Linked DNA regions of Mytilus edulis. The protein of the gene in region 1 interacts with the protein of each later gene in a biochemical or structural test. Links are inferred from orthologs where the notes say so. Each region holds a gene or a part of one and is shown on either strand. Other genes may lie near its edges.

Region 1 (7,694 bases):
TCATAAATTGTACTGGCGAAAAAAAAATCTTCATCAGATCTTAGGCCAAATCAAATTATATGTGTGGTTCCAGTTACATACTGTTAAAAAATAGGCTCGGTAGGTCTGCAATTTTTTTTATTTTTTGTAATATTTTTTTTTTGAATGTCAAAATCCGGAAAATTTGTGTGTTTACCGAAATTGTTTCTGGTATTATACACACCCCAACCGGAAGTCCACCATTTTTACATGTTTGGTTGTAAAATAAACAGTCATGATACGTTTTTAGTTAATTTTGTTGCATTCTGTTATGAATTCTTGCATTTTAGCCATAACAGATACTTGTGATGGAAATTCAGATGACAGCAGTGATCGGGAAGGACGTGCGCCCTGCGCCTATTGACAAGAAATGGCACATACAGTGACAAATGTAAGCGCCAACGTGGCGCACGATATTTTTCACTACGTTTTGAAACGCTTCGATATCATCAATTGGATTTCCGATCGTGTTCCGTGCCGCCATGCGTGTGTACATAACAGTGTAATGTTCCTCCAATAATAGGAGCACCTATATATTTTTGGGACGTCTCGGGTGTTTCCCTATGATAATAAAACCAGGCAGTTTCATGTATCGGGTATTTTCCTATTGTAAAAATAAGACCATGTGATCTAACTGATAACCCGAAAAAACGTAATTAACCATTATTCATGATATATTTTTTTTATAAACAACTTTAAATTTGTGAAATTTGGCTAGTACAGACGAGATTTAACTCTAAAAATAATCTCATTAAGTTTAGCTTGCTATTATTTCGATTGAAGAACCCCAAAGACTTTTTAGGAATATAGTGTTTGTCTCCATAAAAGACGTTTAACTGTCCTTGTCATTTTATGGTCTTTGGTACGTTTTGACATTTTGTAATCATGACTTCAGCGATTTGTTGTTTTGTGCTATAAATTAATGGTACTCTATACTGTTATTCTTGTCACCGTGATGAAGTTATAATAATACAAGAAATGCAGAGGAAATGCCTGAAATGTCCTCTGAAATAAGTATGGTATCGACGAAGACCCAAATTTAATGTACAAAAAAACAACCATGGACATGAACAAGGCAACAGTACCAGTTTAAACATTGTAAATAAAGGTTAACTTAAATATTGTTCGGGTTTGAAGAAGTTATTGTATATTCATTGAAATTGAAATTACAAAATCACAGGAACAATATCCATGATTTTATTTAAAATCATAAAGGTAAGTAAATGTACCAACATGTACACCTCTTTGCCAAAATATACTGATACTTTTTTTTGTTTACAGAAGTCAATTTAAATGGCCCACTCATTTGACAACAAGGCCCATTATTTTTAAAAATGGCCCATTGAATTTATTTTTGAGGGGCCTTGGGCCTATAGGGAAAAAAACCTTCCAGATCACTGTGACAGAAATCTATGAATTTAATCATTTTAATTCACAATCCTCAAAATTTGATCATTTGAAAATATATTTTTCAGAAATGAAAAAAAAAAGTTCTAGTGTCGAGGGGTTTTAACTAGGGTCGGTCGGGTTACTGGAACCACACATATATTTTTATTTGGCCTTATAAAACTGTTGACAAAAAAGAGTCCAACAAGATTTTTCTTTGAAAATCCATTTTATATAAAAAGTATCTTGTATCTCAGCTTGTAGACAGGCTAATTTTGCAACCAAACAAATTCAAAATGCTTATCTAAAGCATCCAGAGGCTTACCGTAAGCAACCAGATGAATTATTAATCAAACGCACCTTTACATCTTAGCCTTGATGTAAATACCATTTACAAAGTACTATGCAAATACATACTTAGAGCTATTACTAAACCCCTATTCCTGATAGTGATAGAGAGGGGGGCTTCAAAAGTTGTATTCTATTGTTGTATGCAGATATGCTTAGAAAGATTACGAAATGACAGTATCATTTCTAAGAAAAAACTTATGATTCTGTTCTTAAATATAAAACAGCACTTGTCCACCAATAGATGATATCTTTCTGTGGATACAGCGGAGCTGACTACCTTGAAAAGCAGTAATACTAAACGACTTCAACATGGATTGAGTACTTGCATGGGAATACATTTTGTATTCTCAGAATCCTTCACACATGCTTAAGTATATTAAAAGATAGAATTCCAGGTTGATGTAGGTTTGTATATAACAAATATGCATATTTATCAGAATAGATTAACCAAATTAATTGACCCATATACACATTCAGTAGTTCATTCTTGTAGAAGCTAGAGGAAAACACATTTCATAATGATATAAATTACCAAACAAACAAACAAAATATTTTTGAGGAACATATTTCTGTTATTTAGTGTAAATTTATATATAGGAAGGATACAAAATGGCCGACAGAAAACTAAATCACATTTTCATACATTAGATTAATAATGTTCACCGAACATCAGGGCTAAGAAAATAAACTTACTCATAATCTTTGAAGATTTCATTTGTCAGCTTACAATGAAATACATCGTCATCAGGCTGAAGGGAACTTGGTACTGGTTGTCTGTGAAATGGCTGTTTTCGTAATAGCGGCATCTTGAACTGTTGAAATTTTTTGGAGGGAATCACAAAGAAATTTTTGTTGAAACTGTTAAATAAGACACAAAATAGCTTTCTGCATGCTGTGACAGAATCTTCATTCGATGTGTCATAAAATGTCAGCTAAAATTAACACATGTAAACTTTGAAAACTAATTATTATGCTTAAGACTGCTAGGTCTTCGATCTCCGTCTGACAACGAGGTCATTTGATTGTAGCGTGAAACAGCACAATGTGAACTTCGCGCCGACCGAGAGAGGGGGGAGAAAACGATCGTTTTTCTACCACTTTATCTCTTCTTTGATCCGAAAATCTGTTTGACGATGAAAGTTAAGTAATTTATTTAACTAATGGTTGCGATAATATGTCTTTAAACATAACATAAAACAAAAAAACAAGGGTAAAACCGTAGTGTCTTCGAAAATTTCGAAGGAAAAAAGTACAATTTGGGCGGAGTCTATAAATGAAACAAACTATCTGATTGGTCACGAAATGAACGATTGACAAGGTATGTAAATTTCCCATTTGCACACTAAATCGACCTCTAAGACAAGAAATTGTTCAAGGGAAGTAACAACAGATCAATGCATATAAAACTAGAGGCTCCAAGAATCCTGTGTCGCTCACCTGATATTTTCATATGGGAGTCTAAAATATAAATGATAGAATTTGTTTATTTTTTTTACCAAAACGTAATATATATTGATATATGTTTAAAAAAAAAAAGATAGGCCACCGTGCATTTCTCAAGCTTCAGGTTGTGACAAAATGGCATATTTTGTATGGATTATAAAGGAAAATAAGTTGAAACTAAACTAAATGATAGAATTGTAATATAAATTTCGAAAAGATACTTTAATACAAGTCTTTGAGAATATCAAAAGAAAAGGTATAGGGTCACCGTACGTTTTTTTCGGCTAAAATACTACATATGAAAATTCCATGTATATATAGATTCCTTCAGAAAATGCATTGTTTCAGAGCTACATATCCCCTTAAATGCTAATTTAAAAATAAATTAAAAATCAACCAAAATAACATACACTTGTAAAAATATTAATTTTCATAAAATATATTCTTATTGATTTGTTCTTTTGAATGAAAATTCACATTAGTTATCGGCATTCCTGCATCAAATTTTTCTATTTTGATTGAAAATCTGGACCTTAGAATCTGTTTTTTTCACAAAACCAAGATGTAGAAAGACACCCATAACACCTTTATAACAGAAGCAAATTGGTAATTGGCAAATGGACTATTGATGCATGAAATAATGCAACCGATATACTTTTGCTTTACTAGTTTTAGAGATATCGAAGTCAAAAACTTTATTCTCCTTATGTTATATTTTTAGCCATGTCTACCATGTTGTTTGGCAAGCAGGTTTTATTGGTCACATTCTTTAAGATAGATACCCTAATGCTTATTGTGGCCAAGTTTGGGATAAAAAATTGTCTCAGTTGTTTCAGGAGAAGAAAAATTGTTAAATTTGACCTTAAAGGACAGAACTCCTTATGGGACCAATTGACCATTTTGGTCATGCTGACTTATTTGTAGATCTTACTTTGCTGAACATTATTGAATGAATTGCTGTTTACAGCTTATCTCTATCTATAATAATATTCAAGATAATTACCAGATACTTCAATTTTTCACACAGTCCTTAAAATTACCAAGGGTATCAATCCAACAACAGCTAGTCTGATTCGTCTGAAATTTTACGACAGATAGGTTCTAACCTGATACACAATTTTATACCATGTCAGATTTGCTCTAAATGCTTTGGATTCAGAGATATAGACCAAAATCTACCGTTACCCATACGTTCTATTCTTAGCCACGGCGACCATCTTCATATATACCATGCATGTATACTCCAATGCAGATTGTGACCAAGTTTGGTTAAATTTGGCCCCAGTAGTTTCAAAGGAGAATATTTTTGTAAAAATTTATGGACGACGGACGACAGACGCCAAGTGATGATAAGAGCTCACTTGGACCATTGGGCCATGGCCAGGTGAGCTCAAAAGGGGGAGAGGAATATTTTGAGAAAATTCTTCGAGGTAAAATACAGTTTATGAATTATATTACCCTTTAAATAAACTCATTATAGATACCAGGATTGAAATTTTGTATTTGCCTCAGACGGACGTTTCGTCTACAAAAGACTCTTCAGTGACGTTCGAATCAAACAAATTAAAAAGCCCAAAATAAAGTACGAAGAAACAATTATGTCAGATATCCAAGTAAGATCGATTTTTCCTGAAGCATCATTTATGTTATATATCGGTTCTAGTGAGATCGATTTCCCCTGAAAGACCAGTTATGTCAGATGTCCTATAAATTTGATCGATTTCCCCAAAGCCCCAATATGTCAGAATTCCCAATGAGAACTATTTTTTCCCCGCAGAACCATTTATATGGCAGATATCCTATTAAGATCGATTTCTCTGAAGCACCAGTTATGTCATACATTTCATTGAGATATATTTCCCTGAAGCACTATTTATGTCACATATCCTATTGAGATCGATTTCCCTGATGCACCACCTATGTCTTATATCCTAGTGAGATCTATTTCCCTAGAGCACCAGATATGTCAAATTGATATCGATTTCACTGAAGCACCATTTACGTCAGGTATCCTGAGATCGATTTCCCTGATACACCACCTGTGTCATACATTTTATTGAGATACATTTCCCTGAAGCACTATTTATGTCACATATCCTGAGATCGATTTCCCTGATGCACCACCTATGTCATACATTTTATTGAGATACATTTCCGTGAAGCACTATTTATGTCACATATCCTATTGAGATCGATTTCCCTGATGCACCACCTATGTCAGATATCCTAGTGAGACTATTTCCCTAAAGCACCAGTTATGTCAAACATAAAATTGATATGGATTTCACTGAAGCACCATGCATGTATGTCAGATATCCTATTGAGATCGATTTCTCTGAAACACCAATCATGTCAGGGGCGGATGCAGGAATTTTCGAAAGGGGGGTGCTAACCCAGGGCAAAGGGGGGTGCAAAACATATGTCCCGATACAAATGCATTGATCGGCAAAAATAAAGGGGGGTGCGCACCCCCGGAACCCCCCCCCCCCCCCTTGGATCCGCCACTGCATGTCAGAATCCTAATGATAACTATTTCCACGAAGAACCAGTTATGTCAGATATCCTATTGAGATCGATTTCTCTGAAGCACCATTTAGAATCATTTTCATAACAGCATGGACAACCGCAATACTATGTAGGTAGTTATACTGAATCATTAACCCAGTTTAACTTGTTTATCATAGGCTAACGATAACAGTGATTTTACGACCACTGCCAGAGGACTTCCAATGACGATTTAAATAGAATAAAAGAGTAAGGTACATGCAGGTGCACGAGAAGAAAAAAAAAGTTTAAGTACCCAACATTTAAATCAACACACAAGGTCTTGTTCTATGCTAGTTTTTCGTTTGATTTGATTTAGGCGTTTAGAATTATTGGCGACCCCTTCCCCCCAGTTTAAATGGCTGACAAGTAGGTGTTACAGACGAACGTCTACCTAATCTGACCCAATAAATTTAAAACCTGAGCGCGCAAAGAAAATACTGAAATTGTCTTATGAATTTTACGCTGTTATCAAAATGATTCTTTATCAGATATCTTTGTGGCATCGATTTCCCTGAAGAATCAGTTATGCCATACATCCTACTGAGATATATTTTCCTGGGAAAAAAACCCATTTATGTCAGATACTCGATCATGATCGATTGCCCTGAAACATCATTTATGTCAGATATCCCAGGGAGATTGATTTCTCTAAAGCACCAGTTATGTCAAACATAAAATTGATATGGATTTCACTGAATCACCATCTACGTCAGATATCCCTTTGAGATCGATTTCTCTAAAATATCAATTATATCAGATGTCATTGTGAGATGTGTCCTTTTCAAAGCATCGTTTATGCCATACATCCCAGTGAGATCGACTTCTCTGAAACAAAGATTATATCAGATATCCTTGTGGGATCATTTATGTCATATTTCCTAATGAGATCGATTTTCCTGAATCACCAATCATGTCAGATATCCTAGTGAGATCAATTGCAACTACCTTGATGCACCATTTATGTCTTATATCCTAGTGAGATATATTTCCCCGAATCACCAGTTATGTCAAATATAGTATTGAGATCGATTTACCTGCCAATCATGTCAGATATCCTATTGAGCTCGATTTCTCTGAAACACAAATTATATCAGATATCCTTGTGAGATCATTTCCTTCAAGCATCATTTATGTAAGATTTCCTTTTGAGATTGATTTTACTGAAGCACCAATCATGACAGATATCAAAGTGAGATCGATTACCTTGATGCACCATTTATGTTAGATATCCCAGTGAGATATATTTCCCTGAATCACCAGTAACGTCAAATATAGTATTGCGATCCATTCCCCTTATGCACCAATCATGTCAGATATCCTATTGAACTCGATTTCTCTGAAACATAGATTATGTCAGTTATCAGTTATGTCAGATATCGAACTATTCGTGAGAAGAAAGAAAAAAATATGTCAGATATCCTAATGAGATCGTTTCCCTGAAGCACCAGACATATTTCATATATCCGATCAAGATTGATTGCACTAAAGCACCACTTATGTCAGATGTCCTATCGATATTAATTTCCCTTAAACATCAGTTATGTCAGATATCATATTGAAGTATATTTCCCTGAAGCACCTGTTACATCAGATTTCCTATTGAGATATATTTCCCTGAGGCACTAGTTATGTCAGATATTCCTATTGTGATCGATTTCACTATAAAGCACCAGTTATGTCAGATATCCTGTCGAGATCGATTCAAGTTCATCGAAGCTTTATGTCAGAATTCCTAATCGGAACTATATATTTCCCAGAAGAACCAGTTAAGTCAGATATCCTATTGAGATCGATTTTTCTGAACTTCAGAAGCACTATTTATGTCAAATTACCAATTAATCCTTCAATTACGAACATTCAAACTTTGTTCATCTTAAAGTGAGAACATGAAGGATTCGACCGGTTGCATGATCACATGTGGGGCAGGATTTGCTTACCTTTCTGGATTA
Region 2 (7,698 bases), on another chromosome or scaffold:
GACGATGACAAAAAGTAAAGGACATAAGACTGTGATACACAAGTTTATAAAAATCATTAAAAGTGTAATGAAATAATAATAAATAAGATTTAAAATGACTTAACCAAGTGAACATGCATTGATGTTTTGGTATCTTTGATATACATTATAAGAAAATGTACCATAAATACTGAAATTCAGCTAGAAAAAGTTTGTACGCGTTATGACCTGAGATTTGATTCTTCAAAGCAGGTCATGACCTGCATTTTCATCGTCACAGGTTGACAGGTATGCCTTTAGTTGTTAATTTCTGTGTGATTTTGGTCTCTTATGGACAGTTGTGTCATTGGCAATCATACCACATCTTCTTTTTTATATAATAATGTTTGCTCCTCTAGATCTGCATCAGGAGCATAACATTTTAGGCAATACTTACAATTTTAGCTTCAAATTGTGCATTTTCCTGAGGATTCCTCACTTTAGGTGGAGACTTAAGTAGAACTGTTGGTTCAATGGTTGGCTGAAATAGAAAATTAAATAGATTGTGTTTAATTGTACAGGCTTCAAAACATCTGACCACACAAAATACAGAAACACAATTGTACTGAGAGTGGAATTAAACACCAATCAATCACTTTTTATGATATTGATAGTAAAGGCATATGTAATTTTAAAAGTAGGGTCAGTAGGTAAGGATTTCTATTCTTATTAGCAAGGTATACATTGTACGTTATTATCTTAGTCATTAATTCTTATTGATACTTGCTTCACTTTTATCATTTTTATCCCAAAAAGTTATTATTCATCATGTTGATCATATAGATTTTAATAAAACTCCTATTGCAGGTGTTTGTCAGAATCCCCTATTTTCCAGTCAAAAAAGCACATGACTGTCAACAATCAACATATGACATGTTATAGCCAAGCTTTTATGTAGAAAGTATGGGATTTAATCATGTTTATTAGCCAATCAAAATTTGATTAATCATTGTCTCTTGTGATTATTAGGCATTGCAACCATGCATAATTTAAACTTGTAATATTCGAGTCATATTCCTTTGCCTGCAAGTAAGAATTGTAAAAATACATATCTATTTTCATTTGCAAGATGTAACACTTTTTTTTTAATCATTACATGTATTTAATTACTTTGTTTTATATTTCAAACTTAACTTATTGTTTTGAAGATGATAGAAATTAATCATCCATTTGAATATTGATTCTTCAATGTTCTTATTTGTTTTATTTGTTCAGTTTGTTTATACAAGATATTAAACATCCATTTGATGTACATATATATATTATGTAATTGATTTAATAAAATGTATTTAAAAAAAAAAGTACATGGACGATGCATTTTCACAAGTATGCCATTACATCTTTTCAAGGTACACGTTTCATCCCATGGAAGTTGCGTCCTGCATTCTATATTTAAATTTACTCAGGCCAAAAAAAATAAATTATTATATGTTTCTTGTTTATGGTTACCAGACCGACCCTATTTTGAGCGCCCACCCTAAGCCATTTTATTTCAGTTGTGAAGTGAAAAATAAACTGAACTCGTGTTAAAAGTGAAGATAGTGTTGCCTGATGCATCCCAATGTTCATAATCATGAATATGATAGCTGTTTTAAGGAAATTTGCGACTCGTGTGATTAATAAACATTTTGCCGTCATTTTTTCCCAATCAATAACAAAGGGAAATAATCCAATCATTAAAAATACGGGTAACTTCGGCCCATGGCAAGGCAGACTGCAGGAAAAAAAATAAAATGGACATACCGACCTACCTACCCTATTTATTTTGATGATGTAACCTTAAACAGATATATTTTTTTTGGCATCACAGGGGTACAATGCTTTTCTGAGTTCTCAGAAATGCAATATGGTACTGAGAACAAGGTTATACACATCAGTTTGTGATAAATCCTGGTACTATACGAATCCGGGTCCGTTCGCGCCCATTCACGTTCGCACCCACTCATGTTCGCCCCCTTTCATTTTCGCACCCTACATGTTCGCGCCCAGTTTTAATTGGTTTTGTGTTTAATAACTTTGTAATCAAGTTTTGGCAAGTAGTATTCTTATAAGTATAATTGTTTTCATGGTCTCAAAATAAAGTGAGACAGCATTTTTTTTTGTGTTGAATAAATCTTAATCATGTTTTGGATAGTGTATTGTTAAAAAAAAATATATTCCTTTCTAAATAAAGTGGGATTCTGTCAACGTTTTATTTTGTGTTGAATAACTGTTTATCATGTTTTGGTTAGTGTATTGCTATAACTTTTGTTTCATTGACTTGTTTCAAAATGAAGTGAGATTCTGACTACGTTTCCTTTTTTTTTTGTGTGTTGATTAAATTTTATCATGTATAGTAATATATAATAGTGTATTGTTTCATTATTTCAGATCAAAGGGACCAAGCTGTTAAAAACAATTATCTTTTGTGTTTTTCATTTAAAATCTTCAATCTTTTACTCATACCAAGCTATAAATACATTCAGTATTTACACGAAAGCAATTAAAAACAACAATCATGATTTTCCAATTATTCAACTCGAATTTGAATTAAAATTGGGCGCGAACGTGTAGAGTGCGAACGGACCTTGGGTGCGAACGTGCGAGGTGCGAACGTGTAGGGTGCGAAAGTATATTGGGCGCGAACGGACCTGATACCGTACTATACACTCAGTAGTTTGAGATTTGTAAAGTTTTGTAAACACAGACAGTGACACAGCCATTTTTTGTACATTTGTTTTCATGAACCCTAAACCACAAAGTATGTCATGATGTACGAGTAAAACAGTTAGGGCTTAAGAAAATTAATTGTTTGGTAATATTTCAATAACAGTTTTACGACAATTTCCCGCAAAAATGCAAATTTTTATATATCAGTTTGTTGTTAAACGTTTTCCACAATTTCTATAAGGCTAATTACAGCTAGTTCCATTGGTTCATCGTTGGTACTTTCAGCCTCTGAGTCAGACATGGTTTGTTTGGTCTATACTCAGACTAATTGCTAAAATATATGCTGTTTTCTTTGTCGTTTCGAATCACCGGCAAAATTTGCGCTTTGCCGGAAGTTAAATTCACGCTTGCGCAATTGTTATGGAAAATGCTAAAATATATCCCTTTACTCTGACCTTAGAATTAGACCCAGAATTGAACATTTGTTTTTTGGTTTATTTTTTGCTTCGCATACCTTAAAATTTAGTTATTCACAACTTTAATAGACTCGGTTGGATAAATAACTTTACAATTTAGACAGACATTAGTCTAATTTATGTATGTACGTAGATCCCTCCTTTATTTGGAGTACCCATCGAGGAATACGTGACCTGGTCAATACACCTTATCGCTATTTGTCCGCCATAACTAGATATCACACAGGTTCCCGTAAATTTTTGACGTCACAAAACAAAATACCTGACGCCACAATGGAAAAGTGATTGTTGTATGCGTCAAAAGTTCAATCGGCCGGGTCAGCCGGGATTAGCGATAAGGTGTATTCGGTACCTATATTCTATATTGCTAATGCACCTTGTCAAATAGGCACCTATTTAAAGTTATTTCGCCATTTAATAATAAAACTGCCATCTAATATTATTTTTTCCGTTTTGTTTTCTTTATATCCGAGAATAGTTTTCTGACGTTTTTTTGTATATTTTTTTGCCAAAATTACAATTTCAGAGAATTATTTTGTGTGACTTTGTTAGTTAAAACTCAGCACATGTACACTGTGTCTAAACTATCCCGGTAAAAAGTGTGAACTCAATGATATCTGATGTTCGGAACTGTGATGGAACATCAACAGGCAGACGGAAAAAGTAGGTATTTGTGCACTATTTGTTTATGATATCCAAGAGTATAAATACATACAATTTTCGATTTTGAGGTGCTATATTTTCTGTAATCTTTATAGATTAATGTAGAAATTGCAAATTAAGATGATACATTTATAGTGAACCTTGCCTTTAATTTCCTGTTAATTTATGAGGGGGGATAGGAGGGGTCCTGATCCCGAAATCCCGAGCTTAAAAACATGAAATCCCAAAATTCCGAATTTAAATAAAGTTAATCCCGACGTCCCGAAATCCGAAAAAAAGAATTCCCGGATCCCGAATGGGTCAATCCCGAAATCCCGAGCTTAAAAACACCCGATCCCGGAGTCCCGATAAAGGTCCTATCCCCCCTCATTTATACTCATTGTAAAGAAAGGTACGGGACGGAAGATATTTACATGGAGATTGCAAGACTATAGCCACTTTGAAAACCTCACTACTTGTATTTCTGTGCATGGACATAAATGACAAATAGAAAGACCCGGAGTTATCAGAGTTGTTTACTACACAACGACCCGGTTTTGTATTTGTATAAGACCCGGTGTTTTTTTTTTTTGGAAACCACAAATGAATTATGAAAAGCAACGATTTCTTTATCTATTGCGGTTTTAAAAAAAACCAGACAAAACTCCCTAATCCCCCGATGTTGCATGTCGGCCAAAATAAACATACTTGTAAGCGGGATAACCGAAACATGATTTAAAAACTTGATTTATATCCCAATGATGATTGTCAAATCAAATAAAAGGAAATGTATTTAAAGTCGTTAAAAAGCATACAAAACAGGAAAGAATAAGCTCTTTCGACCTTTTAAACCGACAAAAGTTTGTGGACAAGTTTTGTTAAATGTAGCCAAGTAATTTCAGAGGAGAAGATTATTGTAAAAATTAATGGAAGACGACGAACGATGTAATGAGAAAAGCTCACCTTTCATTTTGGGTTAGGTTGGCTAAAACCAACAAAGAATTCCAAACAAAATTTCATTGTTCTTAAATTTCATAATTTTGTCTAACAATTCACAATTAAGTTTCACAAACGAGCGGGAAACAAATCAAACATGCGGAAAAAATGTCACCCTTCGTTTTTCAACATAAATAGACACTACGTGTTATTCATACAATAATGCACGCACTAAAATGTAAATTATCGCGCCTGCTTATGATCGTAATTGATTTTATTTTCAAGATAAAAGTTTGACTTAAACAAAAGTGTCACATTATAAGTTAAATATGGTTCGCTACTGACCACCTACGGATCCATAGAGGGTTAGTAAAATTAAAATCCATAGGGGGTTAGGAGGCCGAGTCCCCCATGGACTTTATACACACTCTATGGATCCGTAGGAGGTCAGTAGTTAACCGTATAACGAATTTATCGCACGCTAGACTTTTACTGCTGCGTTTTGTTGAAAAATAAACTATGAAACACAACAACATTAATAGATGACGTCACAATTAACGCGTCACGAACCCCTTACGGTCTCATAGGGGGCCACCACGTTACGGCGTTAAACAAATCACAACGTGATAATTTACCTGCGGTGCTATAAAAACTTAACTTTGTTAAATAATAAACCATAAATAAAAGTTAAGGTCAGATGAAATCTGCCTGACGGACTTTGACACATTTCAATCATTAATACAAAAAAAACCACCCTCAACCTTCACCAATTAACCAAGAAAATAAAGTTATAAAAAAAGTCATGTGCACAAATGCAATTCGAGCAAATAAAGTTGACCGGTATTGCTTATGGTATTAGAGATAAGCAGGCGCGGATCCAGAGGGGGGGGTTCCGGGGGTTGGAACCCCCCCCCCCTTTGTCCTGGGTTAGGAACCCCCCTTTTTAAAATGGCTGGATCCGCCCCTGATAAGGACTAGAACTCGAAATGTTCACATTGATCATAGTTAACAACCATTAACAGTGTGAAATTCAATTGATAAAATTTACAGCTATTCAATTTTTGTTAGCAAATCGCGGAACTACTAAAATGTGGACAAGGGCAATGGAAATATGACATATATATATATAAATACAATACTTCTGAAATATGAAGCTTCGCTGATGTGCCTTTTTTATTATTATTTTTTTTATATATATATAATGTTACCTGCAAAAGTATGAATGTTGTTTACATACTAGAATGTTCGGTTTGTGGCCTCCAATATGTTGGTGAGTCAAAGCAGCCTTTCCACAAACGCCTCAATGGCCATAGGAGTGATATCTCTAAGAAGCCACTTCTCCCAGTTTCTCAGCACTTCAGACAGTCGGGTCACAAACCTGATGACTTTAACCGCATGAAAATTCTAGTGATTGAACAGAATATTCACTGGAGTGATGCCCAGCGACAGGTTAGGGAAAGCTTTTGGATAAAGGAACTTTATGTACATCATCCAAACGGCATCAATAAGAAATACTAGCGTTTTTGTTTTTTCACTCATTTTTATTGTTAATATACACAGTCACGTATATTGATTTATAGTGTTTTGTTTATATTATGATATTCAGGCTTTTGGATTAAAAATCAATCGACCAAAACTTACCTGTATTATTACTGATCTATTTTTACACCTTATACATCATGTATCAGTATTGTTAAAACTTGTGACACTTGAAGAAGGCCATTTGTTGAGCCGAAATATTTGTCAGCACGATTTAATAACAACATTTTCGTATTATAACATCTTATATCAGTACCGTTGTGCAAATCTTTAGACTGATATATATATATATATATATATATATATATATATATATATATATAAAAGTCTATAAAAAGGACCAACCAGCAAATTTACTATGTACCGGATCGTCTAGAATAGGCGATACTATGCAGATAAGGAAAAAATTAAATCAGTCTAAAGATTTGCACAACGGTACTGATATAAGGTGTTATTAAACGAAAATGTTGTTATAAAATATATATATATATATCTTATTTACGCTGAAATTAAGAGTACTACGACCAAATATTAGTAGACTGGAGCCAAGATATTGTTACAAGGTATCTACATAAACTCATCATAGATGGATACTAGGATATAAATTTTGTCGGTTTTTGCGCCAGACGCGCGTTTCGTCTACAAAAGACTTATCAGTGACGCTCGATTCAAATCTAGTTAAAAAGGCAAATAAAGTCAAATAAAATTAAAAAGGCCAAACAAATTAACCGTTTATATCAAACTTATAGCTCTGGTTTTGTAAAAGTTGAAACCATTCATATCATATATAAACCTATACACTAAACATTATTTTCAGCATTCATATGTATGTAATAGTTGCCACTGTACTACATTAAGCGCCCATCTATCTATTTGTAGGTGTCGGCATTTTGAAAATTGAAATTTTTTTTCAAATTGAAGTTTATATCAGCGATATATATGTAACACTCAGAAACATGTCCTTCCCCCCAAACGTGTCCGATTCCCCAAAACGTGTCCACATCGACGTCACTGAACTGCAAAACATGTCTAGTTGTAACAGCGCCAAAGCGTGTCATTTGTATAAACGCCTTTAGAAACGTGTCCATTAAAAAAAAACCCACTCAAACGTGTCCAATCCCCAAAATGTGTCCATTATTTTTACTGGAATTATCATTCGTGTCAATAACATAAATACGTGAAGATATTAAATCAGACACCTCGTGTAGGGAGAATGTGCTATTCTCTTCGCGTTTCTTACTGAATTTATAAAAACTAGGTTTTTACTAACTCTCAATTATTTTTAGATTAAAATCCCAACGTGTTAATCCCGAATAACCGTTAGAAATTAGGTCCAATCTTAAATTCCCGGTATGATAAAAGAACCTATCTACAGTATGAATAAGAAGATGTGGTATGATTGCAAATGACACAGGAATTAATAGCTACTAGTATAAGT

Evidence for each region.
Region 2: the proteins of bromodomain adjacent to zinc finger domain protein 1A-like (region 1) and SWI/SNF-related matrix-associated actin-dependent regulator of chromatin subfamily A member 5-like form a complex in vitro, tested with the Drosophila melanogaster proteins (3 studies listed by BioGRID). The link is inferred for Mytilus edulis from reciprocal best matches to the Drosophila melanogaster genes Acf and Iswi.

What each region holds. Positions count from the first base shown.
Region 1 is NC_092346.1:30,366,792-30,374,485, reverse strand, and holds the start of bromodomain adjacent to zinc finger domain protein 1A-like, read right to left. Parts: upstream 3,045-7,694; 5' UTR 2,562-3,044; coding exon 2,449-2,561; intron 1-2,448.
Region 2 is NC_092351.1:84,269,806-84,277,503, reverse strand, and holds the start of SWI/SNF-related matrix-associated actin-dependent regulator of chromatin subfamily A member 5-like, read right to left. Parts: upstream 3,090-7,698; 5' UTR 2,969-3,089; coding exon 2,918-2,968; intron 500-2,917; coding exon 416-499; intron 1-415.